Linked DNA regions of Oryctolagus cuniculus. The protein of the gene in region 1 interacts with the protein of each later gene in a pairwise test. Links are inferred from orthologs where the notes say so. Each region holds a gene or a part of one and is shown in the gene's direction. Other genes may lie near its edges. The genes, in order: TXLNA, STMN2, BTF3L4, CEP57L1, HYPK, DTNB and STX1A.

What was found.
Region 2: the proteins of TXLNA (region 1) and STMN2 interact in binary tests that used the Homo sapiens proteins (3 or more experiments, as listed by UniProt). The two-hybrid records come from large-scale screens. The link is inferred for Oryctolagus cuniculus from reciprocal best matches to the Homo sapiens genes TXLNA and STMN2.
Region 3: the proteins of TXLNA (region 1) and BTF3L4 interact in binary tests that used the Homo sapiens proteins (3 or more experiments, as listed by UniProt). The two-hybrid records come from large-scale screens. The link is inferred for Oryctolagus cuniculus from reciprocal best matches to the Homo sapiens genes TXLNA and BTF3L4.
Region 4: the proteins of TXLNA (region 1) and CEP57L1 interact in binary tests that used the Homo sapiens proteins (3 or more experiments, as listed by UniProt). The two-hybrid records come from large-scale screens. The link is inferred for Oryctolagus cuniculus from reciprocal best matches to the Homo sapiens genes TXLNA and CEP57L1.
Region 5: the proteins of TXLNA (region 1) and HYPK interact in binary tests that used the Homo sapiens proteins (3 or more experiments, as listed by UniProt). The two-hybrid records come from large-scale screens. The link is inferred for Oryctolagus cuniculus from reciprocal best matches to the Homo sapiens genes TXLNA and HYPK.
Region 6: the proteins of TXLNA (region 1) and DTNB interact in binary tests that used the Homo sapiens proteins (3 or more experiments, as listed by UniProt). The two-hybrid records come from large-scale screens. The link is inferred for Oryctolagus cuniculus from reciprocal best matches to the Homo sapiens genes TXLNA and DTNB.
Region 7: the proteins of TXLNA (region 1) and STX1A interact in binary tests that used the Homo sapiens proteins (3 or more experiments, as listed by UniProt). The link is inferred for Oryctolagus cuniculus from reciprocal best matches to the Homo sapiens genes TXLNA and STX1A.

What each region holds. Positions count from the first base shown.
Region 1 is NC_091438.1:140,273,197-140,277,250, reverse strand, and holds the start of TXLNA (alpha-taxilin), read left to right. Parts: upstream 1-1,254; 5' UTR 1,255-1,422; exon of another isoform or gene 1,423-1,449; intron 1,450-1,564; exon of another isoform or gene 1,565-1,779; 5' UTR 1,780-1,969; coding exon 1,970-2,135; intron 2,136-2,627; coding exon 2,628-2,966; intron 2,967-4,054. UniProt on the Homo sapiens protein: May be involved in intracellular vesicle traffic and potentially in calcium-dependent exocytosis in neuroendocrine cells.
Region 2 is NC_091437.1:105,186,071-105,189,570, forward strand, and holds part of STMN2 (stathmin-2), read left to right. Parts: intron 1-2,947; coding exon 2,948-3,120; intron 3,121-3,500. UniProt on the Homo sapiens protein: Regulator of microtubule stability. When phosphorylated by MAPK8, stabilizes microtubules and consequently controls neurite length in cortical neurons.
Region 3 is NC_091438.1:120,888,675-120,892,880, reverse strand, and holds the start of BTF3L4 (transcription factor BTF3 homolog 4), read left to right. Parts: upstream 1-1,406; 5' UTR 1,407-1,549; exon of another isoform or gene 1,550-2,585; intron 2,586-4,206. Other genes in the region: TXNDC12 (thioredoxin domain-containing protein 12), read right to left, coding at 158-248.
Region 4 is NC_091436.1:62,252,130-62,255,629, reverse strand, and holds part of CEP57L1 (centrosomal protein CEP57L1), read left to right. Parts: intron 1-768; coding exon 769-913; intron 914-1,533; exon of another isoform or gene 1,534-1,689; intron 1,690-2,508; exon of another isoform or gene 2,509-2,724; intron 2,725-3,435; exon of another isoform or gene 3,436-3,495; intron 3,496-3,500. UniProt on the Homo sapiens protein: Centrosomal protein which may be required for microtubule attachment to centrosomes.
Region 5 is NC_091443.1:66,686,284-66,689,108, forward strand, and holds HYPK (huntingtin-interacting protein K), read left to right. Parts: upstream 1-1,136; coding exon 1,137-1,298; intron 1,299-1,647; coding exon 1,648-1,703; intron 1,704-2,023; coding exon 2,024-2,075; intron 2,076-2,229; coding exon 2,230-2,325; downstream 2,326-2,825. Other genes in the region: SERINC4 (serine incorporator 4), read right to left, coding at 1-282. UniProt on the Homo sapiens protein: Component of several N-terminal acetyltransferase complexes. Inhibits the N-terminal acetylation activity of the N-terminal acetyltransferase NAA10-NAA15 complex (also called the NatA complex).
Region 6 is NC_091433.1:177,327,473-177,330,972, forward strand, and holds part of DTNB (dystrobrevin beta), read left to right. Parts: intron 1-2,369; coding exon 2,370-2,529; intron 2,530-3,103; exon of another isoform or gene 3,104-3,206; coding exon 3,207-3,296; intron 3,297-3,500.
Region 7 is NC_091450.1:50,381,677-50,385,737, forward strand, and holds the start of STX1A (syntaxin-1A), read left to right. Parts: upstream 1-1,261; 5' UTR 1,262-1,343; coding exon 1,344-1,373; intron 1,374-4,061. UniProt on the Homo sapiens protein: Plays an essential role in hormone and neurotransmitter calcium-dependent exocytosis and endocytosis.

The sequences.
Region 1 (4,054 bases):
AAAGTAGAGTTGGAGCAAAAAACCCAAGATTGGATGGAAGAGGCAAAAGCCAAACCACGTAGGCTCTTCAGATTCCAGGTGCAAAGAGTACTGGGTTTTATTCCAACGTCTATAAGCAGCGGTGATAAAGAATTGTGACCTCGGGGCTGGTGCCTGCAGTGCCGCCATCCCACATGGGCGCCAGTTCAAGACCTCCTAGCTGCTCCATTTCCAATCCAGCTCTCTGCTATGGCCTGGGAAGGCACTGGAGGATGGCCCAAGTCCTTGGCCCCCGCACCCAGTGGGAGACCTGGAAGAAGCTCCTAGCACCTGGCTCCTGGCTTCGGATCGGCGCAGCTCTGGCGGTTGCGGCCAATTGGGGAGTGACCCAGCGGATGGAAGACCTCTCTCTCTCTCTGCCTCTCCTCTCTGTGTAACTCTGCCTTTCAAATAAATAAATAAATCTTTTTAAAAAATTGTGATCCCACCTTTGGAGAAAAATCTGGCCTTTTCAGTTTTAGCCCTAGTACCACAAGGACTTTGTACAAAATGGGACGAAGAAGTTTCAGGAATGGGCCTGAGGTCAAACACCCCTGCAGGGACCCCTCTGCCCCTTCCTGCGGGACTGCCGAGCTTATTGGGGGGGGGGGGGGGTAACTACCTTTCACAAGTTACCCGGGCTCTTGGAGAACGCCTGCAATGGTGATTATTTCTTCTGAGTAAAAGGCAGGGTAGCGGAGTAGTCAGGTTCTGAACCACTGCTCGAACCCAGCATCTGTGACCGTGGGCGAGCTGTCTAACGCGAGCCTTACAGCCCTCTTCCGTTAAATGGGAATGACAAATAGTACTTATCTCCAGCAGCTAGGAGGCCAGGGCTTTTAAGAGACCAGGGAAGCACACGGGGTGTGCTCAGAGAACCGCTACGGTCACTGAAAGCCTGCGTCAGAATAAGGAAATCGAGGCAGGGAGAGAAAAGAACGTCCAGTCGCGTGGCACCTAGGGATGAAGTCGGACCTGGAACACAGGCCTGCCTCCCAGCCCAGGCCTCTCCGGAGTCCCCGGACTGACGGAGTGTGGACCGAGGCACGCGGGCGCAGTGAGGCTGGGCCGCACAGGGCTTCTGCACGACACCGGCGAGGTTGACGTGGAGGTTTGCTCAGAACCACCGGCTCCCCAGCCCTCCGGAGTCCGCGGCTCTGAGGACGAGAGCATCCTGGGAGTTGTGTCGACCGATGCATGGTGGGACGTGTAGTCCGCTCCTGTCCCCGCCCTCCCGATGCACCCGCCTTGGAGGCCGCCTTCGCTCCCGGCTCCCGGCAAGCTCCGCGCCAGCGCCGGCTACTAATTGGCTGTGGCTCGGACAGGCGGCTCTGCCGGCAGCGGTTACCCAGGGTTTCCGGTGCGAGGCCAGCGCTGGGGACGCGGTCGCACGTCGCCCGTGAGGTGAGCCCAGCGGCGGGACGACGGACGGTGAGGGCCTGCAGACCTGGACACTTTCGGCCAGCGGGGAAATTGCTCCGATTTCTGCGCGTGGGCGGCGGCGGGGGTGGGGGGAGTCGGGGTGACGCTGTGCGCATGCGCGCGACTGGAGGGCGCGCGGGGCGTGGGTGGCTGCGTGCGCGCGGGCGCGGGAGCCCACGTGGGACCTGGGGCGCGGGGGGAGGGGTCGGAGTCGAGCGTCCCGCCACGTCAGTCTGCGGCCGGGAGCCAATCCCGCGCCGGGCCTGCCGTGAGGGGCCGTGTGGGGCCGGGAAGTGGCTTCGGGGGGAACAAGGAGGCCTCTCTCCTCACCCGCTCCAGGAGCAGCGCCCCGGAAACCCGCCGGGGTGCGCCAGGCCCCCTGACCGGCCGGACAGCGGGAGAACCGTTGGCTCCCTCCGTTGAAGGTGCGCCTGGGCTGTGATTTCTGATCCAGGCTGCGAAGAATTCTGTGGAAAATAGCAACTGTGTTTCTCAAGGATCCAATCCCAACCTAAGGTGGCAGCGCACAATGAAGAATCAAGACAAAAAGAACGGGGCTGCCAAACAGCCCAACCCCAAAAGCAGCCCGGGACAGCCGGAAGCAGGAGCGGAGGGAGCCCAGGGGCGGCCCGGCCGGCCGGCCCCCGCCCGAGAAGCCGAAGGTGCCAGCAGCCAGGCTCCCGGGAGGCCGGAGGGTGTGTGCCAGCTCTGCGTTTCCAGCCGCCTGGGGGAGGAGTTCGCGGCCCGGCCCAGGGAGGAGGCAGCGGGGATGTGGAGCATCCCAGGCTCTGGGGAGGGGAGGCCCTTGCAGGCTTCTCGCAGGTGGCCGGCACCTGAGGCCTCAGCCAGTGACGCCGGGTTCCATCCGAAGGACCTCGGTCACCAGTGTGGGTCACTGCCCTTGGTTCGTTGTCGAGGCATTTCTGGAGCTGCTTGCATAGCAAGCGGGGGCTTTTAGAGGGAGGGGAATGGACGAAACATTGAGTTGCCTGCCTCCTGCGACATGGCAGTCCCAGGTGCCGTACGTACTTATTTTATGCTTGAACAAACTGTATTGGGGAGGTTGCGAGAATTAAGTAAGCTGGGGCAACCTTAAACCTGAACCAGTGAGGCTGGCTGGGCTCACGATCCCAGGTGGTGGTCTAACCTTGCCGTCTGTCGCTGCCTCTCGTCCTCTCCTGCCCTAGGGGCTCAAGCCAAAACTGCTCAGCCTGGGGCGCTCTGTGATGTCTCTGAGGAGCTGAGCCGCCAGTTGGAAGACATACTCAGTACATACTGTGTGGACAACAACCAGGGGGCCCCGGGTGAGGATGGGGTCCAGGGTGAGCCCCCTGAACCTGAAGATGCAGAGAAGTCTCGCGCCTATGTGGCAAGGAATGGGGAGCCGGAGCCGGGCACCCCAGTAGTCAATGGCGAGAAGGAGACCTCCAAGGCAGAGCCGGGCACGGAAGAGATCCGGACGAGCGATGAGGTCGGAGACCGAGACCACCGGAGGCCACAGGAAAAGAAGAAGGCCAAGGGTCTGGGTGAGCAGAGGGCAGCTGCGGGGGGCTGTGGGGAGGGCTTTGCACCTGACATTCCTTGGGCTGTGCAGCAGGGAGTCTCCCTGGTTGATTCAAAGCGCAGGGTATTCCAGCCACAGGCCGGAGTCGTTCAGGTTGGGAGCAAGTGAAATGGAGCCTGATCCTCATGGACAAAGCGGAGAGGTTTGGATGGGCTCTGTACCTGCCCACACCGCTTCGTCCCTGCTGTGTGACCTTGGGCATGTCCTTTCCCCGCCCTGGGCAATAGTTTCCAGTTCTCTACAAGGAGAGGATTGGGCTAGGCCAAAGTTGCAAACGCAAACGTCTGTGTAAGCCAGGACCGAGGGAGGGCCTGCTTTCTGCCCAGGGTGGACTGCAGCCTTGTTCCTTGAGTGCTCTGCACTGTGCCTGCTGCCAGCTCGTCAGTTGAGAGCGTGTTGAACCTCAGACTGGGTGCAGCTGGAATTTTATTTTCTGTTAAGAAAAGCCAGAAATCAAGAGTCTGGTGAAATCTGTAGATTTCAGTAGTAGAAACCAAACAAAACCCATGCATGAGCCGGGTTTGGCCTGTGTGCCAGTGATTGGCATCTCTGTGCTGGTGTCTTCGGGCCTCCGCAGGCTGAGCAGCCTGGAGCCTGGTCAGCAGCCCCTGGGGAAAGGCCCCCCACTGGGCACAGGCAGTGGGGAAGTGGCAGAGACGGTTTTTTGACAGCAGAGTTCGTGTCTGTTAAGAATCTGGGTTAGATGACATTGGACTTGTGTCCTAGTCCCTGTCTCGCCGCCCTTCCCCCGCCCCCAGCACTTGTCACCCTAATTGAAAGAGGAACTTTTTTAAAGAATCATGGGAACACACATTGAAGGTCTCTTCATTATAAGGTTCCCTGTTTGGATGCCTCGTACACAGGGCTATAGATTTCTCACGGAGGCCAGGAGACCTTTTCGGATCCTGCTTCTCTGGGAAGGCCCCACTTTGCATTGAAACAGTAGCCCTGAATTTGCAGGTGGGATACCTTTTATCTGCTGGGAGGCAGACAAGCTTTTCTCCCACCAGTGGTGCCCCCCCCCCCCCGAAGGAATTCCAAGAGGTTTTG
Region 2 (3,500 bases), on another chromosome or scaffold:
ATAACATCACATTTTCTTTATTGTAGTCTTTATAAAGTCCCCATATTTTGTGTATGCCTGTCAACAAACTAATAGTAATCATAGTTGACTAAATAATTCAAACTGATATATGACTGAGGCCCCGGTAAACAGGTGTGAAGAGAAATGCCCGGAGCATTGGCCTGGCAGCTCACTTTAGGAAAGCACAATCCTTTAAGTTGAATGTATTCTAATTCATTTGGCTAGTCTTTTCTCTCTGGCTCTGCCACTGACCTCCTGGCCTTGGGCAAGCAGATACCTAGATCCCTAGAGCCTCACTGAACACTAGCATCTCCAAGCAGGGCTGTTATGAGGTTTAAAAGTTTTCACACTAAGTTAAAGCATCAAGATAGCTATTATTATCAACAATTCATTCTCATCTAATTCAGTCAATCCAATCAAAATATTTGATTCAGTTCTATGTATACTAGATATAGCTAAAGCATATTGTTTGCCTAGGCTGTCAGTTATTTTTCTTTTCCACATATGTAAAGAAAGACACGAAGGATCAGGTGAATGGGCCTTTGGTAGTTAACCCCCTCTGTGCTTTTAAAACCTGTAGAAAGTTGTTCCATGATGATGTAAGCATCCTGACTGCTGATCAAGTGTCTCAGAAGGAAATATTGCCCACCCCATGTAAAAAGGTTTTGGTGTCTAACCAAAACTTTTATTAGAACAGAAGCCCAAGGCCAGTTCCTGCTTTGCATAAATTCACATATACTGGACAGACCATTATTATCTGCTAGATCTGGCTGCAAGTAGGAACCATGCTATCTTTCTTAGGAGACTCCCGATGTTGGATCACTCAGTATAGATCACTCAGTGTTGTCACTGAAGATCCAAAGATGAATGTAACATGATCTTCACCTGTAAGGCACTCAAGGCTCAGGGAAAGTGTCTTTCAGTATACACATGGGCAAGATACAGAACACAGAGTGCTTAGGACATAAGAGGTAATGATGGTGTCTGCTGCTTGAGGGATTGAGAAGAGGGGTAGAAGAAAGTACAAAGTTATATATGAACCAAGTCTCAGAAGTTGAACAGATAATTCAATCTTGTCCAGATTGAATCAATACCAGAACTGGTGGAGAATATCAAATTTCTGAGGTCCTTAACTTGGCCTGTATTTCTATGTTGATAAGAATGTGAATCATTTGTTGTAGACAAACATGATAACAAATAACAGTTGTTCTTCTTATTGTTTACATTAGTAAACCCAGAGTGCCATAGGCTGTACTTTCCATTCCCTACCATTTGTCATTTAATCTTCACTGCAATCTTAAGAGAAAGATGCTCCTCTTAGCTCTGTCTTTATGTGAGGGAATGAAAGCTAAGAGAATTTAATTAACTTTGCCAGTGCCACACAGCAGGAAAGCAGTATCTAGTGTTCACCTGCAAATACAGGCAGTTCTAATACCAGTCTCTCAGCTAAGCCCTTTAAAATCCCTCATCACCTCATCAAATAAGCTATTTTTATTTGCCCATTCTCTTTTGTAATCCTTTTCTATAGGCTTACATAGATTTTATATAGTTGCATTTAAAGCATAACTAAATATTGGATGGCTTCAGGAAATTTTAAATTACTTTTATATTTATGGGAAAAGAAATGCATCATTTCCAGCTTACTTATTAAATTAGTCATCTGGATTTTCTATAAGCATTTATGGATCCAAGGTCAATTCCTGTCAGCCTGGGGTTTTTATCTGACCACAACCTCAATGTACTGCTGAAACATTAATGGAAACATAATCCTCACATTAGAAGAAGTTAAGATTTCTGCTCTGCCTTGGCCAGAACCGGCCTGGAGACCTGGCTGGCTGGCTTGCCACGATTTCAAAGGAACATTAATAAATTAGAGAGACTTATAGGTTAGGTGGCAACGTGCTTATCAAGATCTAGGAACAATCTCCCTGAAGATGCTTAGCCTGTGGTGGGAGACGTGGTACAGAGCAGCCTCAGCATGACAGCAACGTACATGGCATTTACATTGTATTAGGGAATTACATGTTAAGCTAGAGATGACTTAAGGTCTATGGGAATATTGTGTAGCATCTATGCAAACACAGTGCCATTTTACATAAAGATTTGAGCATCCCTGGATTTTGGTGTCCACCAGGCATCCTGGAACCATACCCGCAGGGACTAAAGGACAACTGTACTTGGAAGACACAACAGAGAATGTCCTTGGCTTGCAACCATTCACATCACATACAAGTTCCAGTAGAGTGATGTCAAAGGGATGCCATCTGAGGCTCACATTAAAGAATATTCATTTTTTAATCATTATATTTCACTAATTTGCGAAACATGTAATGATGAATGTCTCATCAGATATTAGTTATCATTTATTTATATTATAAATTATATTAATATTAAAACCATATTATGCAGGGTTAAAACTTGAGGGTCTGATAATCTGCTTATCTTTGCCATAAATGCCACTGATGAAAAAAAAAGCTGGCTAGCAACTATTCAGTTTTTGTACTAACAAAAATATTTTATATTTATTATGTGAAATATGTTCAAAATATGAAGGTACTTCAAAAAGTTCATGGAAAACAGAACTTAAAGGTAAGTTTTATTTGGTACAAAAAATTTTGAAATCCATGCAGGATTTTTGCATAATATGCATTTTCCATGAACTTTTTGAATACACTGTGTTACCACCGTGTGTGTGTATGTGTGTGTGTGTGTACTGTGGAATGGGTATATGAAACTAATTAACATATACATTACCTCACATGTTTGTCATTCATTAATTTGGGATGAAAACACTCCAAAACAATGTAGAGAAAATTATCATCTGTAGCATTTTACTTCTACTTCCCAGTTTAATAATGCTGCTTTCAGTTGCTGGAATTCAAGTCATTAGAATAAATCCATGCTTTGACCTCTGTATGCTTAATATTCTCCACTGTTCATTCCTTAGATATGGAAGTGAAGCAAATCAACAAACGTGCCTCTGGCCAGGCTTTTGAGCTGATCCTAAAGCCACCCTCTCCTATCTCAGAAGCCCCGAGGACTTTAGCTTCTCCAAAGAAGAAAGATCTGTCCCTGGAGGAGATCCAGAAAAAGCTGGAGGCTGCAGAGGAAAGAAGAAAGGTAACTCTTTCTAGACAATGGTGAAGTTCACTCTACGCTCTCTTTTTTGCATTCTCTCTCTCTCTCTCTCTCTCTCTCTCACACACACACACACACACACACACACACATTCACAAACTTCTAGCAGAGGTTCCAAGGGTCAGTGACACCTGAACCTGAAACATCCCAACATCTGTCAGTCTTCAATAGATGTAGAGCCAGGAGCGTCTAGATAAAATGTGCTTCAATTATGGTAAGATAAAGGCTGATTTCAAAAGAACCAAAACCACACTCCTCTTCCCCTTGTCATAAAGGCCCCCCTCCTCTAGTCTATCAGACATACACATTGCCAAGAAAGCACAGCCTTAGGTAACCGGAGGAGCTGGCCCTGGGAGCAGGAG
Region 3 (4,206 bases), about 19 Mb from region 1:
AAATTATCTTCAAACTCCAGGAGCGGTTGGGGAGCTAAAGAGAGATTTGGGGTGCCCTAAGAGGCAGAAGGAGAGGGTAGCGGTGTTAGGGCAAGAAAAGGGTTACACCGGGCTGGGGCCCGGGATCAGCAAAGATAAAAAAAGAACGCGGTCTGACCCTTTCCAAGCCCACTGTGTCCATCAGAAGAGGTGACCAGGAGCAGGAAACTGAAGCCCAGCAAACAGGTGGCCCCGAGACGAGCCTGCATCTCCACGGTGGTAGGTGCGCGGGACCACGGTGCCGAGCAGACAGCTCACACCGCTCCCCAAGCACGGCTCCGCTCAACCCCTCGCGTTCCCAGATTGTCTGTGTGTGTCTCTCTCTCTTTTTTTTTTTTTCCAAAGTCCGAAGGAAGTGATGTTAGACGGATGTGGGTGGTGCCTCCGGGGTCCGGATGGAAATGGAAAGAGTTTAAAGGTACAGGTCACGTAATAGGGTGCGCGAGTAGCTCTCCATCTCGAGTAGCTTTCTCTGGATTCTGGATGTCCCTGTCGGGTGACCGAAAAAGGAAAAGGTGGACCGAGACAGTGGGGGCGGGGAAGAGATTCGGGAGAACCGTTGCTGATCGCGTCTGCCAGCCAGGCTGGCCCCTCCCCCCTAGAACCGCTGTACTTAATATTCAAAATGCAAATTACTGATCGCTCTGGTTGGACGCTCTCAGTACTGGGCAGGTTGCCCTCCGGCCTCGGATTCCCCTTACTGCTCCCCAAGTAAAAGATGGACAACTGGATGTCATTGTAAGTTCCTACTCCGGTCTCTGAAGAGACCTGGCAAACCCCTTCTGCGGTGCACGGTCTCGTGCCTTCCAGGCATGCCCTTACCCGTTAGGGAAGAAGCGCTGGACCTTCACTCCCTTGCAAAATCACAAGTCTTCCACTCGAGGATGATGCAATCAACTGATGTAAGCTCCAAGAAAACCAAACTTGGTGCCTCTTATTGCAAAACTGATTGAGGTGGACCTAGGGAACCAGGACATAAGTCACTGCAAGCATCTAAAGTGTAAAATTTCTTCTGGTTAAATCTATTTTTGTTATGAGTTGAATATTTCTTCCCATTTTTCCCCTTGTGTTGCGAAAACAGATTAATTTTCCCATCTTCCTCCTGGTACTTAGTTGAGTCCAAACAATGCTTACTTATTGCACAGTGAGATATATTGGAACAGAAGTACACACCCAAACGAAACCACACACCGCCCTTTATTTTATTAGATTCCCTACAAATTATAAGAGCCGACACAATAGAACGCTTTGGAGACTGCGAGCTCCAGGATGCAGCGCGGCCACCTGCACCTGCAGCCAATAGCAAGCTAGGCACGCGCAGAGCACGCTGGGCTTTGTAGTTCGGATTTGCACTCCCGCGATAGGCCGTTCCGGAGAGGGAGAGGCGGGCCGACTGTGTCACGTGGGCCCTGCTCCCGCCGCCACCGCCGCGGTCGTCTTTCTCTGTCTAGCTGAGGCAGCCATCTTGCTCTTGCCGCGTGCTGGTGTTGGAGGATCCTCCTTGCTTCAGGTGAGACCCCCGGCAGTCCCGCCACTACACGGCCATAGGCCGCTACGCACGGTCTTCCCCCGCCCTCTTCTTCCGACACCCGCCAACCGCTCTGACTGCCACTTCCGCCGTGGCGCGGCGAGTGGGGGCGGAGGCGGCTGGTTTGGCCTGTCGGTTACCGGCGGCGGAGCTGGGGGTCGGCACCTGAGGGAAGGTACCCAGCACCACCGCTTCCTGTAGAGGCGAGCGGTTCCGCTCTGTTGCCTCCCAGATCCAGTCCCAGAAGGCGGGGGACGCCCCCTGTTCTGTGCCATTGCTGCTCGTTATTCGCAACAACAGTGTTGCGAGCTTTGAGCCTTATAGAAAGCTGGCCTGCTGTCATCTCTTTTGCTCCTCCCAGTCTACAGATAGGGAGACTGAGGTTAGCGCGTCCAGCTTCCAAGCTGTTGGGACCGAACTCCTTTGCCGCGCTCGTCACCTTGTAATGGCAGTATTTGTTTACAAGTCTGCCTCCCCTTTGAAACGTTACCTTGCCCATCTTCATAACCACATCACTGACCGACAGGCAGTGCTCACAGCCAGTGAATGGCGGTTTCAACTTCCGTTCCCACGTTCTTTCACTCTAGCTTAGCCGTCCTCTCGGAAGTGGTAACAATAGTTGCCAATTACTGCGTACACTGTGCTTGATAATCTAGCCTTTTGCGCTCAAAACAATCCTGTGAAGTAGGTGGTGGTACACCTTCCCTCATGCAGGAGGAACACAAGTTCAGAACAGTAGAATACCCTTCCGATGCCTTAGCCTTTCTGATTCCAAGACCTGTGCCTTTTTCTTGGAGAAACCTCGCGTAATAAAAGTTGGGACTAAAGGTTGAAATTACTTTTATCTCAGTGCAAACATAATGTATGTGAAAGTGCCTTTCACTATGCTTGGGAACTTAGGCACTCAGTAAATACTGATTAACCTCTTAACTTACACCCTTTCTTGAGTCCTTGAAGAACGACGTACTGAAAGACCCTTTGCCTTAGGAAATCACTTCCACCTTTTGGGCCCTGAAAGGTACCTTTTTCCTGTCAAGCTCTCACTTCCTAATCTGTTAAACTGGGATGGAGGTGAACTGTTTGTAATTTACACTTTGCTGCTAAAAAGCAGGTATTTGAGATGGCCTCATGTAAGTGATGGTGCAGTAAAGATTGAAGAGTAGGGGATGAAACCAGGAGATCTTTGAGGTCTGCTTCAGATCCTGAGCTTTACGTCTCTCTTAGACTGAGCCTGATCCTTTTTCCTGCTTGAAGTACACATGCCCCAGCTTGCTCAGACAAAAGGTCACCGGCCAGCTTTCCCTACTGCCTTGCGCTTCCGACTTCCCTAAAATGCTTTTTCTCTGAGATACTCTTTGGGAGTAAGATTTCTCCCTTCTTTTGGCCTGACCACTTGGAATGGAATCTGTTCTTCATCTACACGTTGATATATAGAGTTAATTTCGTTCTTGCTTTTATGAGTCAAGACTCTGCCTTGATGTATCATCATCTTCCATCTCTTCTGTCAAGGACTGTTACTTCAAAAGGGAGAAGAGTCCAGAAAGGATTTGCCCTGTGTATAGTTTCAATATTTTCATGTAGCTTCTTTTTTTTTTTTTTTTTTTTACAAAAGCTTCCTTAGCCTCCCCCCCCCCCCCCCATTTTTTCCCCCAGAATACCTTCATGGCCACATCCCTTGGGGAAAAGTGAATATTGGTCCTTTTCTTATGGATACTTGAGTATAGGGATTGACATTTACTTCAGTGAATTTAAGTCTGGCAGAGCTAAGACTGGTACATTTCTAATACTTTTTGTTTTAGACTCTGAACTCACTTCCTCTTAAAAGTGGTTTTAGCTACTTAAATATTATGATTGTGATATAGTGCTAAGAGTGAGGAATCATAGGTTCTAAATGTTATTTGGGAACTGAACTTTAGCCTTAAAGCAGAGATACATACAGGTTAGTATCTAAGTACAATGTCAAACAGAATGGTTAGTAATTATTTATCTTTGATTCTTTTTTTACCCCCTTCCTCAAATGAAGAAAACAGTATCTTTCTCATTTGATGATTTTACAGGGGTTAGAGGACTGGACAAAAAAAAAATTGATAACAACCTCGTCCCTTATTCCATTGCATCTCAGTAATGATCTGTTGACTGAATAAGTAAAACAGGACTTTTAAGTTGACTTATATTTATTTATTTAGTGTGGAATGTTATGACTCATTATAAACTTAAGAACTTATTTCCGCAGTAGGAATGTCACGGGCCAGACTAGGATTCATGACTTTATAATGTTCTTGGAAATTTCAAAGTCAAAATTAGCTTTGAAAAGCTTATTTTTAGGCGTCTTCCATCTAACTCTAAATTCACTGTTGTAGCAGAGAGATGTTTTTGTCAGATTGTGCAATGAAGCATTTCACTCAAAATGCAAGGAAATCTTGATGAATATGGCATACTATATCAGTGCAGGGTAATGAGTGAATTCTGGAGTGCTGCTGAAGCACCAAATGTCTGGAAATCTGCTTCTGTTTCCCTGTTATTAACATAACATCTGACCTTGAATAAAGGACATGACTAGCTCATATTTTGACAGCTAGACAACCTATTGTTGAATTCCTTTGTCCATCCAGTTTTTAAAAATTATGGTTTGTAAGAAC
Region 4 (3,500 bases), on another chromosome or scaffold:
CACTTGCAAATTCTGAAAGGCCTGACTTCATTATTTGTATTTATATATTTTTTTTGGTCTGCAAATTTATTATCACTGATTTTTCATTGTGTTTATTGATACTAAGTTTTCAAGTGTGCATAATTGCTGCTTTTCCATTCTACAGAGTTTCTGTATTCTCAAAATCTGGACTGACAGACAGATATTATTATTATCATTCTAACATCTATGGTATGGTGACCTTAGATTACAATTCACAAAGCTTTTAAAAGAAAAGCTCTCAATTTGTTTTTAGAATTTTGTAGTTAAATGAATGATTTCATTAAACAAGTAGAATGTAATGCCTCGTCTTAGGCCTGGCTGATCTGCGTTACACATTTTGCAGCATCCATAGTAAGGAAGATTCTGTATAGGCTACGTTAGATCATGCCCCATGTTTAAATGTATATCCAGAACCATGTGATTTGGCTGGCTCACTACTTGAACTGAGACCTCTGTAGAAGCTATAACTAGTTCTGTGAACAGTATTTCATTGACAAGGCCAAATCCTTCAGCAGTAATTCCAGAGTTGGAACTGAAGAGCCCTTTAATGCCTCCATCCAAGGACACCAGAACATTTTACTACGTGTTGCCGGGAGCCTCGAGAACTCAGATTTTTTTAAGGTTATTTGGCCATCTAAGTCAAAATCTAAATGTATCTAATCTCAGATTACAAGGGCTTAAGATTATTATTTAACTCTCAGTGAAACTTATGCTACAACTGAATTGTTTTAAATTTGCTTTTTCTAGGGAGCACCAAGAACTACTGAAAGAAATGAAGGACACTGCAAGCCATTCAGTCTATGGTGACATAGAATGTGAACTAGAACATTTAGTCAAGAAGATGGAAATTAAAAGAGAACAGATTTCCAAACTGAAGAAGCATCAAGACAGTGTAAGAAAGCCTTAGTAAAAAATTGCAATGAAAAGATAACATAACTGGTGTCAATGTTACATCTCCATGTGACCTTCCAAATATGAGGTTCTTATATGTGGTTTTGTGACAAGATAGACAGATAGGAATCACTTAGGCCTGTTATATACAGTACAGCTAGCCATCCCATTGGAATAACATGGGTTTCCTACCTGACTCTCCATGATAATGTAGAGAAAAAGGAGTAGGAAAAGTAAATTATGTGTTCAGAAACAGCTCTGGGAAAATTGTGAGGAGGAGAAATTTGACTGAGCAGCCCTCTGGTTACTCTTTTCTCCTGTTCCCCTTTTCTCCTCCCATGCCTTAATGATGCCCCTTTGTGTTAACAGATTTTTAATTTCCTACCACCCATAAGCCTGGCTTCTCAGGAGTACCCTATTCCTAAACTCAATGTCAACCTTTCCCAAAGCAAGCTGTGCTGTTTTTTGCTTTGGGGACCTGCAGTCAGCTAGCTATAATGAGTAGGATGGCGTTGGAGAGAACTCTGAATTTGGATGTAAAGTCTTAATAGCTATGACTGGCATAACAGCTTTAATATTTGAAAAAAGAACCCTAGAATATAATATTTTATTCCATGACAGTGACTCCATAGGTTGAACTTCGAGCACTCCTACAGCACAGGAGCAGAAGGCAGAGGGATCCTTTCCAGGAGCCGTCAGGTCACATCAGATAGCTCCCTGCTGTGGATCTAATCATCTTTCATAAAAGTCTGCAATGTGTTAACCTCACAGATATGAGTAAGCCTCCCCTGCCTCTTGTAGGAAAGTATTAAACAATGCAGAACATAGCTGCCTTTATTCTTCTTATGGCCTACTTTTGAAGCAAACATTTTCATTTTGCTAGCTTTTAAAGCTATAAGTACAAAGTTTTGTATGGATGTATTGGAATAAAGATTGTACAACTTCTGCACTTTCTTGGAATTACATAGGGGAAACTTGAAAGAAATGGAAAAATAAAAACTTTAACAAGTTAGTTCATACAGACTATATTTTGAAGGACATGATTTATATTCCATAATGACTATAGCAATATGCAGACATTTTATTATGATACATTTCATATTTGTAATAAAAATAGCCTCAAAGGCAAATAGACAACCCCGCACTCAGTGTCTAGGCTAGCTGTACCAATTAGAGCCATGTGTAAGTGAAAACAGACTATGGAATAGGTTCGCCTTTGAAGAAATTCAGCTAGTTGATAGATAATTATTTGTTTAATTCTATCTACCCCACTTTTACCAGACATTCCTGATGGCAATAGTTAGTCCTTTGATTTTTTTAAACTGACATTCAGTAGTACTTTATTGTTTAATTCAGAGATATTTTTATTATGATGATGATTATTATTATCATCATTATTATTTTTTAATTTGAGAGGCAGAGACCTCCTAAATGACTGCAATAGCCAGGGCTGTGCTAAGCTGAATGCAAGAGCTAGGAAGGCAATGCAGGCTCCCCACATGGGTGGCAGAGACCCAATTACTTGAGCCATCACCTCTGTCTCCCAGGAAGCTGGAATCAGGAACCAGAGCCAGGTATTGAACCCAGGTGCAGACATTTTTTTAAAGATTTATTTTGTTTATTTGAAAGATAGAGTTGCAGAGAGAGAGAGGTCTTCCATCTGCTGATTCACTCCCCAAATAGTTACAACAGCCAGAGCTGAGCCAATCTGAAGCCAGGAGCCAGGAGCTTCTTTTGGGTCTCCCACGTGGATGCTGGGGCCCAAGGACTGGGGCCATATTCCACTGCTTCCTCAGGCACATTAGCAAGGAGCTGGATCAGAAGTAGAGGAACTGGGATTAGAACTGGCATCCATGGGGGATGCGGAGGCTTTAACCCACTATGCCACAGCACAGGCCCCCAGATATCTTAAGTGACATCTTAACAAGCATCTTAACTGCTTAGCTAAACACACACCCCAGAAATACTTTACATATATATATATATATACTTTATATATAATATAAATATAAATATATATGTAATAATATGTATATAATTTTTATATAAATAAAATACTTTAAAATATATATATATAGGTACTTCAGAAAGTTCACAGAAAATGCTTATTATGAAAAAAAAACAATGCTTGGATATCAAAATTTTTAATACCAAATTAACTTACCTTGAGGCCAGTGCTGTGGCATAGCAGATAAAGCCACAGCCTGCAGTGCTGGCATCCCATTTGGGCACCAGTTCAAGTCTTGGCTGCTCCACTTCCTATCCAGCTGTCTGGTATGGCCTGGGAAAGCAGTAGAAGATGGCCCAAGTCCTTGGGCCCCTGCACCTATGTGGGAGACCTGGAAGAAGCTCCTGGCTCCTGGCTTTGGATTGGCCCAGCTCCAGCAGTTTCAGCCATATGAGGAGTAAACCAGCAGATGGAAGACCTCTCTATCTCTTTCTCTCACTCTCTCTCTCTCTCTGCCTCTCTGTAACTCTGCCTTTCAAATAAATAAATAAATCTTAAAAAATAAATAAACTTACCTTTTAATTATATTTTCCCACAAAGTTTTGGAAGGATCCTCATGGGTGTGTGGGAGACACCTTCA
Region 5 (2,825 bases), on another chromosome or scaffold:
GATGTAGAACAGGCGGCTACAGGTAGAGTCTGTTAGAGTCGGCCAGCCAGGGTGGCAGCAGCTGGAACTAGGAACAGCCCCACAGCAGGACACCTGGGGACAGAGCAGATACAGGCTGCAAGGTGGAGACTGCTGAGGAAGGGGGTAGATTAATTTATGTGTGAGGGGAACCCTTAAGGTTGAATTCTGAAATCCCCCCGTTTTTCCAAGATCTTTGAGACTCCTTAGACAAACATCTGGGGCTGGGAAGAGGGAGTTTACTGAGGCAAAAAAAACAGGCATTACAAGAGGAAAAGCCTGTCATTTTTTATTGGCCTCCACAGGTTTTCTTTCTCCGCTTCAGCCACCCTTACACTTAACAGTGTTTCATATAGCCCTTGTTTAAGGAAGCTTTCCTTGTCTGTCTTGCCAAGCACCCTCTCACCTGGGAGAAGTGGGTTTTCACTGTGACATTGCCGACTCCGCTGCGCTGCTGCGCCAGGTCCAGGGAGGTGCTGGGGCCTTTGTCAGCCCTTGGACCCATCGTCTTTGTCCTTGGGATTAGGCCCAGGTCCTCCAGATGAAAAGAAGGTAGATGAGAAAGTAGCAGCAGTTTGTCTTCATCCTATTGGCCTGCTGCTTAGCTGGGGCTGAACTCCCGGTCTAAGGCAGCATGGGGACATCAGGAAAAGAACACTGCTCTCCAGGATGTGGTAAATGCAAATACCCCTGTGAAAGTGCTTCCTTGTCAGGGCCTCGCCCACTTAGGCAGTTCTCCCCAGATTAGGGAGCCTCCTGCGGATTAGCATTCTTAATTGGTTTAGGATTAGACCTCATCCAACCTGGGCAAACGGTTCCCTGGGGCAAGGGAGGAGGAGAGGAACTGTTTCTGCGCTAAGGGAGAAAGACGAAAAGCTATCGGGTTGGGCTGGTTTGGAGCGGTGATGCGTTACATCTGGGGTGAAGCCTTGCTAAAAACACTGCTACACGTCTGAAAGGAAGTCTGAGAAGGGAAACGCCTTCCCCGCTGAAGCTTCTAGAACGGCAGCATAAAGAAGGTGTGGCCCAGCGCCAGCCCCGCCTCCCCTGGGCGGAAGTCGCTGGTTAGGTACCGGAAGCCGTGAGGCGTGGCTGGTCGGCGGCGCGGTGGAGTAGATATGGCGACCGAGGGGGACGTGGAGCTGGAATTAGAGACTGAGACCAGCGGCCCGGAGAGGCCTCCTGAGAAGCCACGCAAGCATGACAGTGGAGCGGCGGACCTGGAGCGGGTCACCGACTATGCGGAAGAGAAGGAGATCCAGAGTTCCAATTTGGAGACGGTGAGGTTGGCCGCGAGTGCGTCTGGGCGGGCTGAGAGCAGAGGGGCTTCTGAGCCGGTAGCTGGAAGCCCGCGCAGACGGGCGTCCCGATCCCGATGGCGGGAGGAGCCAGTAGGGTAGAGGATAGTGCCAGGGGAAGCGGAGGTCACCGGAGCCCGCCTCTTGCCAAGGGGAGCTTGACGGATACTAATCTTAGGTGGAGAAGTAACACAATTGAATAAAACGTGGTGCTTGGATCCCAATTGCGCTGGCCATCAAGCATACATCCTGTGTCGCTTGTTACTGGGTTTTTAAAAAGGTCACTGGGGAGTGTGGGTAGCGAAGTAGTAACAAGACCTCTTTCCCATAGGCCATGTCAGTCATTGGAGACAGACGGTCCCGGGAGCAGAAGGCTAAACAAGAGCGGTAAGTGTTGAGTGCACAGCCGGGCAGCATTACCAGTTCCGTCCTCAGACATTAAAGACCATTGCTATGTCTTTGTACCGTGCTTCAAGTCTACCACCAATTCCTGCAGACCTAGAGATTTTTTGTTAATGGAAGAAAGGTGTCCTGGCCAACACCTGCCTGCCAGAAGCCTCTTAGAGGGAAGGAATGGCAGGAATGGTGGGAGTCATTTTATATTGTCACCCTGTTTTTCAAGATCCATTTATCTGCGGATTCCAGCTGATAATTCTCCCTACGAGTTTATGGTGGAAGTAGAGACTAACACACTTAAATATTTGCAGGGAGAAGGAACTGGCTAAAGTCACAATCAAGAAGGAAGATTTGGAGCTGATAGTGAGTAGTAATGCCTAACTAGTTTAGGGCAGGGAAGGTGGTTCTGCCTAATTTGGGCTGTTTCCTGCAACTAGTAGAAATCGGTCAGCATGTCTGGTGGCACATTAATGCCAGGGAGGAGACGTGGGTAACATGATCTATCCTTTTCCGGCAGATGACCGAGATGGAGATCTCTCGAGCAGCAGCAGAACGGAGCTTGCGGGAACACATGGGCAATGTGGTCGAGGCTCTTATTGCCCTAACCAACTGATCAGTGCTTTCTTACCCATACTTACTGGCTTAATTTATTGCAATAAAAATGTTTTGGTCTTTATTGCTGTTTTTATCATCTTGGATCAAGTGCATTGTACATCACATTTTGTTGTGGCAAACATATATATGTTGAAATATAAATGAATTTAATGACGCTCCTCCTTCCCCACAACCCAAGAATTGGCGTAGAAGAGTTCCTTGTGTTCAGATGCACATAGTAGGTGGCTGGCCAGTCCCATTTATCTGACTAGCAAGCACACAGCGATTACTGTACTCCATGGCATGTGTCTCCAGGACAGCTTATTATTAATAGCTGAAAGGCCAGCACCAGCCTTGTAGCCATTGTGTAGATACAGGTTACCAACTCAGTTCACAGGCCAGTTTAAGTTAGAATTTAGGTATCCCAGGCAGAACCATGGAAAGAAGAGGGGCAGAAAGGCCTGACACAGAATTGATCTATGGGAGATTTGAATTCTGAACTGTAACACATTCTACATT
Region 6 (3,500 bases), on another chromosome or scaffold:
AAATAAATAAATATGAAAACACAGAGTTAGAGGGAGAGACAGGGAGACAGGATCTTCCATCTGCTGGTTCACTTCCCAGATGGTCACAATGGCCAGAGCTGGCCTAGGCCGAAACCGGGAGCCAGGAGCTGCATCCAGGTCTCCCACGTGGGGAGCAGAGGTCCAAACACTTGGGGCATCTTCTGCTGCTGCTTTCTTCAGGCCATTAGCAGGAAGCTGGATGGGAAGTGCAGCATCTGGGACATGAACCAGCACCCATACAGGATGCCGGCATCACAGACAACAGTGGCTTTACTCACCACACCACACCACGCCATGCCACGCCACGATGCTGGCCTCTTGTTGGCTAAGTTGAATAATGCTGCTTCCATGAACGGTTGTGCAGATTGTTGTGTGGACATACGTTCATCTCTCTTGGGTGTGTATCTAGAACTGGAACTGCTGGGTCACCTGGTACTCAACGTTCAACCTTTAGCTCAGCCACCAGGCCGTTTTCCCGAGCAGCTGTTCATTCCCTTCTCCATTTCTCTCAGCAGTGTGTGGAGGTTCCTGGGGCTCTACAGCCGTGCCTACACTTAGCACCTGCCTTTTTTGATCACAACCATCCTAGTGGGTAAAGTAGTATCTCATGGTCTCGATTTGTGCCTGCCCAGGGCCTAGTACTGGTGAGCATCTCTTCTGTGCTTATTTGGACACTGTGCGTCTTAGCCGATTCAGATTCTTTGCCCAGTTGAAAATTAGGTTATTTGACCTGTTACTGAACTGGAAGAGTTCCAGGTACAGATCCATTATCAGACACGTCGTGTGCAGAAGTTCTGTGCCTGCCTGTGGCTTGTCTTTTGCTTTCTCCGTGCTGTCCTTTGAAGCACAGAAGTTTGTTTTGTAGCTTCTGCTTCTCATATGCTCTCCTACCCAAGATCATAAGGCTTCTCCCTGTTTTCTTCCAAGAGTTTTGTAGGTTTAGCTCCCGTGCGTAGGTTATTGAGCCATTCTGAGTCCATGTGTCCATGTAGTGTTTAATGATGCTTTTTGAAGAACAGAAGCTTTTAATTTTGATGAAATTCAACGTGTCTTTCATATAGCTTGGTTTTGGTGTCACATCTAAGAAATCTGCCTAACCCATGTCTGCAAAGATTTCTTTATGTTTTCTTTGAGAAGTTTTACAGTTTTAGCTGTTATAGTTACTTTGATCCCTTTCAAGTTAGTTTTTTAAAATGACATGAGACGTGAGGGTCTGTGATCATATTTATTTGTGTCCTGGAAAGAGTCCAGGAAGTGTGCTAAGTGATAAAAGGAAACTGCGAAACCATGTGTGCAGTATACTACTACTCACGCACAGCTTACAAGTATAAGATGCACAGATATGCGGGTACACGGGGTGAGAAGTTTCACACCCAGCTCTCTGACAGTGGCCGCCACCGAAGGGGTAAGAAAAGGAACTGGGAATGGCAAGAGCAGTGGGCACGGAGCTCCTCAGGTTTATCTGCAGTACTTCCAGGTGGAAATAAATGTGACAGTGTCACGTGTGTCGGTTTGGAGTGGTTTATATCACACTTTCTGGTTTTCCACCTTTGTAAACTTCTCAAGTTAAAATCCACACACATAGAAATGACTCAGAGGTAAGACCAGCACCAAGACCAGAAACCGTTTCTGTCGAGGTCAGTGCCCGGCCGAGCCAGGGCCGAGTCCCTCTGCTGCGGGCCTTCCGAGCCTGGTTCCTGGGAAGATAGGGGTCTTCGTTTGCGCTCCTCCCTCCTTGGCTTGTATTCTCCCAGTGCTGCTTCTGCAGAAAGCCCCAGCTCTGCCGCACGCAGCAGCCCCGAGGAGCAGCCCCCTGCCCTGTGAGCTGCCTCTGTTCAGTTTCCGTCTTGCATTGTGCTTTCCCATCCCCCCAGCCTGTGGTGTGTGGTTGGTGGGGGCCCTGGGAGAGGCCTCGCTGACCCGAGCCCTGGGCCGCAGCCCGACCCTCTGGGTGGCGAGCCCGGCACAGGCCCGTGGCTCTGCTCATCTTTGGTTCTCTCCTGTTAACTGGACAGGGAAGCCTGGCCCTTCCTGCTGTGGCTGTTGGGGGATCAGAGGAGAGTGAGTGCATGAACCGGCGCGTGCACAAATGTGTCTGTGAACAAACAGGCAGGACGTCTGCATCTTCCTCCCTCCTGGCCCTCCAGCAGCTGACCCCGCCCCCGGCCCCCTCGGCCTCCCTGAAATGCCCCCTTCGCACCAGGCTCTCCTTCCCCTTCCTCCTCTCTCCAGTCCTGGGGCAGCCTGGGCGTTCGCTTCACACATGGCCAAGCCCGCGCCAGCTCCACCTGGCTTTCCCTTTCCTCAGAGATACCTGAGCTCCCCTGTTCTCTCTCTGACCCTCCCAGGCGCAGGCCGCGGGGTCCCCGCACACGTCACCCACTCACGGAGGTGGCCGCCCCATGCCCATGCCCGTCCGCTCCACGTCAGCCGGCTCCACGCCCACCCACTGCCCGCAGGACTCACTGAGCGGCGTCGGCGGAGACGTGCAGGAGGCGTTCGCACAAGGTGGGTGCTTGCCGCATGGCACAGGGAGGGGTCATCCCGCAGTTTCTGTGCTTTTGTTGAAAGCTCTTGGCTTCAGTGTGGGATTAAGTCAGGTGCTGGCCCCTTCCTGTTAGATGGGCCGGTCTCCAGTAGCAGGTACACACACAGCAGCCGTGTGGGGGAGCTGGGGCGCGGGGCTTGTGCTTTGGACCTTGTCCCCTTCAGAGGAAGTGGATGGAGTAGCTCTCAAGTCATGCCCCCAGCCCTGCAAGCCTTGGGCGCAAGCACAGGATGGGCACATGGACTCCACACACCACCCTGCGAGGGCACGGCCGTGTGAGGCTCAGCGACACTGAGAAGTTGGGTGGGAGACGAGGGGCTCAAGCAGGAAGTCTTGGGGGCAGGGGACAAGGAGGGGTGCTGGCGAGTGAATTCCGCCCGCAGCTGACCAGCACCTCCATGTACGGCTCGCTCTGGATCTCAGCTCTGCCGCGCAGGGAGAGGCGGCGGCGGCCGTGAGGACGGGGCTGGGGCTCCTCTTGCTCCTGCTGTGCCCGGGAGCAGGTGGAGCTGCCGCAGCCCCGTCTCCCCGCAGGCGTCCTGCACCTGCGTGCCAGGGCCTGGCAGGATGAGGCGTTTACCCAGCTCTCCTCTCCGTGCCCACCGCCCTGGCATCGCCGTCTGCTGACTCCCCTCAGGTACGAGGAGAAACCTGCGCAGTGACCTGCTGGTGGCTGCCGACTCCATCACCAACACCATGTCATCCCTGGTGAAAGAGCTCCGATCAGGTGAAGCCCAGAGCTCCCCCGCGGCACACGCGGCCTCGTCTCACCCCTCAGTCTTTGCCTTCTAGGGTGCGGCGGAGGGCAGCGCCCACAGAGCGTGAGCCCGGGGGTGGGGACGGTCACACATTTAGCTCGACCTGCCTTGCGGAGCCAACACAGTTCTGAGTGTAAGGAATCCAGATCTGCACCCGGCAAGGCCCCTTCGTG
Region 7 (4,061 bases), on another chromosome or scaffold:
GGTTGAAGCCTGGACAGCTTTTCGCAAGCAGTGCGTCTGTCTCCCAGGCCAGACCACATCAGAGGCCAGCTTGTCCGGGAAGAAGCGAAGGCTGGCATGCTGCCCCCACTCCGCCTGCCAGCCAGCTCACCTGTGCCCTCAGTCTGGGACAGGCGCCAGGCTCACCAGGCAGCGGGGGCTGGGCTGGCTCCAGAGCAGAGCCTTGGCGGTCCTGGGGAGAGGGAAAAGGGGCGCGTGCTTGGCTTGGGGTCGAGGGTCTGGGCCATTCCAGCCGGGGGCCGCCACTGGGATGCTGTCACAAGGAGAGACAGAGCCCTGGAGGGAGCATCTGTGACTAACCAGCCCCTCTCCGCCCCTCCCCAGGTGCTGCTCGTCCCAGGCCCAGCGGCCCCGGCTTGTGGACAGGCAATGGGGTCTTCAGGCCCACAGCTGGAGCTCAGGGCAGGAGATGCAGGGAAAGAGGAAGGGAAAGGAGAGGAAGTGCTATTGGGCCTGGGGCCGGTGCTTGGTGTAGCAGGTAAAGCGGCCGCCTGCAGCGCCGGCATCCCATATGGTCGCTGGTTCGAGTCCCGGCTGCTCCACTTCCAATCCAGCTCTCTGCTATGGCCTGGGAAAGCAGCAGAAGATGGCCCAAGTGCTTGGGGCCCCTGCACCCACGTGGGAGACCTGGAAGAAGCTCCTGGCTCCTGGCTTCGGATTGGCACAGCTCCGGCCATTGCGGTCATCTGGGGAGTGAACCAGCGGATGGAAGACCTCTCTCTCTGCCTCTGTCTCTCTGTAACTCTGTCAAATAAATAAACCTTAAAAAAAAAGAAAGCAAAAAAAAAAAAAAAAAACCATCGCCCCCCAAGGATCGAGGGGTTCCTGCATCCTGCTGGAACAGCCAACGCAAGGGTGAGTTGGGGGTGGGGGTCGCCCGCACTCGTGAACCGAGAGATCCTGGGGCAGAGGCTGAGTCTGCACGAGGTGGTGTGACCAGTGGGAGGGGCCGGGGCCCCGCGTCGGGGGCGGGGTTTGGGCAGGGGGCTGCTGCACGGAGTTCCAACCGCAGCTGGAAGGGCTCACTGAGCGGGGGAGACTAGGGGCCCAGGTCCGGGGTGCAGAGTGGGGAGGTGGTCGGGGCCGAGGCCGGGGAGGCCGCAGGGGATCCAGCGTCCAGGTCCCAGCTGGGACAAAAGCCCAGGGCCCCCGGGCTCTGGGAGGGTGGGGCGGGGCGGGGCGGGGCCGGGCCGGGGTCCCGGGGGCCGGGGCGGGGCCGCGCTGGCGCTGCGCAGCCGCGGGGCGGCCGCCGCGCATGCGGGGCTCACAGGGCTGCAGCCGGTGCCGCTGCCACTCCCGGGAGCATGAAGGACCGAACCCAGGAGCTCCGCACGGTGAGTGCGGCCCCGCGCGCGGCCGCTCCTCGCCCGCGCCAGCGCCAGCGCCCCGGCTGCCTCCAGCCCCCGGCCTCCCGCGGCCCCTGCGCCCCCGGCCGGGGAGGGGGGAACCCTGAGCCCCCTGCTCGTCCCGCCCCTTCGAAACCCTTCGGGGGTCCCCGGCTCCCGCGCGCCCGGACGCCTCGGCCGGCGGGCTGGCGGCCGGAGCCCGGGGTCCTGGACAAACTTTGCGGCTCCCGGTGCCTGGGGGGAGTCGGAGGGTTATCGGGGTGGCGGTGGCGGGACGGCGCCCGCGGAGCCGATCCCGCCCGCATCGCCACCCCCTGCACACTCCGCTGACCCCGCCGTGTGAACGCGCGCCGGGACCGCGGGGGGACACCCGCCGGGGACGGTGCCCGGGCGCCGCCCCTCCCCCATCACCTGTGGCTCCCATCACCTGTGGCTCCCTGTCCTGCCCGGGCGCGGTCGGGACCCTGTCTCTGGGCGCCCTGGGGCTGCGAGGGATCGCACCCACCCCACCCACCCACCCACCTAGTCCACCTTCCGGGGCTCCGCGGTGCGACTCCCACCTGGATCTTATTTTTCCACCTGTGTCTCCGAGGCCCCTGGGCTGTGGCTCCTGGGGCGGGGTTCCGGGGCAAGGTTCTGGGTCGGCGCCCACCTCTTTCAGCCCGGATCAGGACTTCTGCCCTGCTGCTCCTCACCCTCAAAGCCGCCTCTGCCTTTGGAGATGGCGGGGAGGGCCCCTGGGGGGCAGTGAAGGAAATGGGGTCATGTAATGGGGGGCTCAAGACTGGCTTGGGTCTCCTCTGATGCCCCGGCTAGCGACCACCCCCTGCACACCAGTCCGTGCCCCCCACCCACCCCACCTGCCTGGCCTCCAGATCTGTGTCATTCCTGGCCGAGCGCCCAGCCCCAGGGGCAAATCCCGTGGGGTTTCCAAGGAAGCAGCCGGTCCCTCCTGCGGTCCTTGGTCCCCGGACACTTCCCCCCAGCCCTTTCGGTTGCTCTCAAGGTTCCTGTGATGCGGCAAGTCGGTGGGGGCACCGGCGTGGCGAGGGTTGGCTGCGTGAAGCGCCTGCTCCTGCTTGCGTGTCCCTTGGGTCCGATGAGGGTGCAGGGGAGCCTCTGGCTTGTCCCTATGCTGGAAGGGAAACCGAGGCACAAGGAGACGGGGTGGGGGGGGCTGCCTGCTGGAGGCAACGGGGTGTGGGGAGGGACTTGGCCTGGTGGCTGGGACTGGGGGGCCCCAGGAGAGCTTGAGTGGTGAGAAGCAGGGACCCAGAAGTTGTCTGTGATGTGAGTCCCTGTCCCCAGTCCACGTGTACACACACACACACACACACACACACACCTGCCTGAGCCCTGGCTGGCGAGCCTGGCTTGCTCTGAGTTATCTGATGTTTTCCCTGCAGGCATAGACCTCCCACCAGCCCCTGGTCGCTGTCCTCCAGTTTCTAACAGCCTCGAGGGGGTGGGGCGAGAGGCAAGGGACAAGGGGCGGCTGGCCAGAGCTCGCACTGGGTGGGCTGCAGTTTTGAAGGGTTTTCCACGAGGAAACCCCAGCTCTGGGGGCGAGGTGCAGCCACAGGTGTTGGACCTATGGCTGCACATTCTGGGGGAGACCTTGAACTCCAGGAATCAGGATTTGCAGCTCAGAAATGAGGAGCGGCACTGGCTGGGCTGGCCGGAGCTGGGGTTCAGGACGTGGCTGTGCGCCACCCCCAGCCCGCCCTCCTCCTCCTCCTCCTCCTCGCTCACCCAACATCGCCACCACATTTGGAAGGAAGGCGAAGGGAGCTTATTTATAAAAGTCACACTTGGGGAAGGAGCTGGCGTGCTTCCTCCGTGCTCCGCGGGCCGGGCTCAGCCCTCCAGCCTCCTCCTGCCCCCGCCTGCCTCTCTCTCTGAGGTTCCTTTCCATTCTGCAGGGGGAGAGTGAAGAGGGCTGTGGGAGCGGGGCCAGTGTGGGGCTTCAGCCCCTGAGACCAAGGCCTCAGGTCAGAGAGGCCTTCCTGGGGGTGCAGGGAAGCCACACAGCCCCGGGTGGGGTGGGCACTTTCAGGGTAGGATGTCCCCTTACACTTAGAAGCCTCCCTGATTTTCTTTCTGGGGCTTTACTGGAGCTGCTCCACACCCCTCCTCCGGTCCAGAAAGGAGTTCACCTGCATGCCTGGCAGGCTTCCTGGAGGAGGAAAACTTGGGATGGTCCCAAGGAGGAGGAGGAGCCCAAGCCGAGGGGATGGAGGATGCCCCTGAGGTCCAGAAAGGGGCCCGGCTCCCCCCCTCCCCACGCCTCTCAGGGCAGGTCAAGAGGCCGCAGTGGGGGGCAGCACCAGGCAGGTCTGGTCGGTTCTGCACCTGTCCAGTGGAGCCTCGCAGAGCAGGCACGGGGCAGGGTCTCCCGACACCCCCCTCTCCTTCCCCGCGGCTTCCCAGAATGAAGTAGGATCTGGCTGCGGAGAGACGGTGCCATTGGGGACCGGCTGGTCTCACCGCCTAGCCTACGGATCAGAAAAGCCAGGTTCAGAAAGGGCCACGGGTTCATCTGAGGTCACACAGCACAGCCCGGTGCCTTTTCCCCGGACCCGAAGCTGCCGCCCCCATGCTCTTGGGACCTTGCGAAGGGGCAGCCTGTGCTAAGCAGGGAGCTGATGTAGCAGGCCTGGTGGGGGGTGGGGGTGG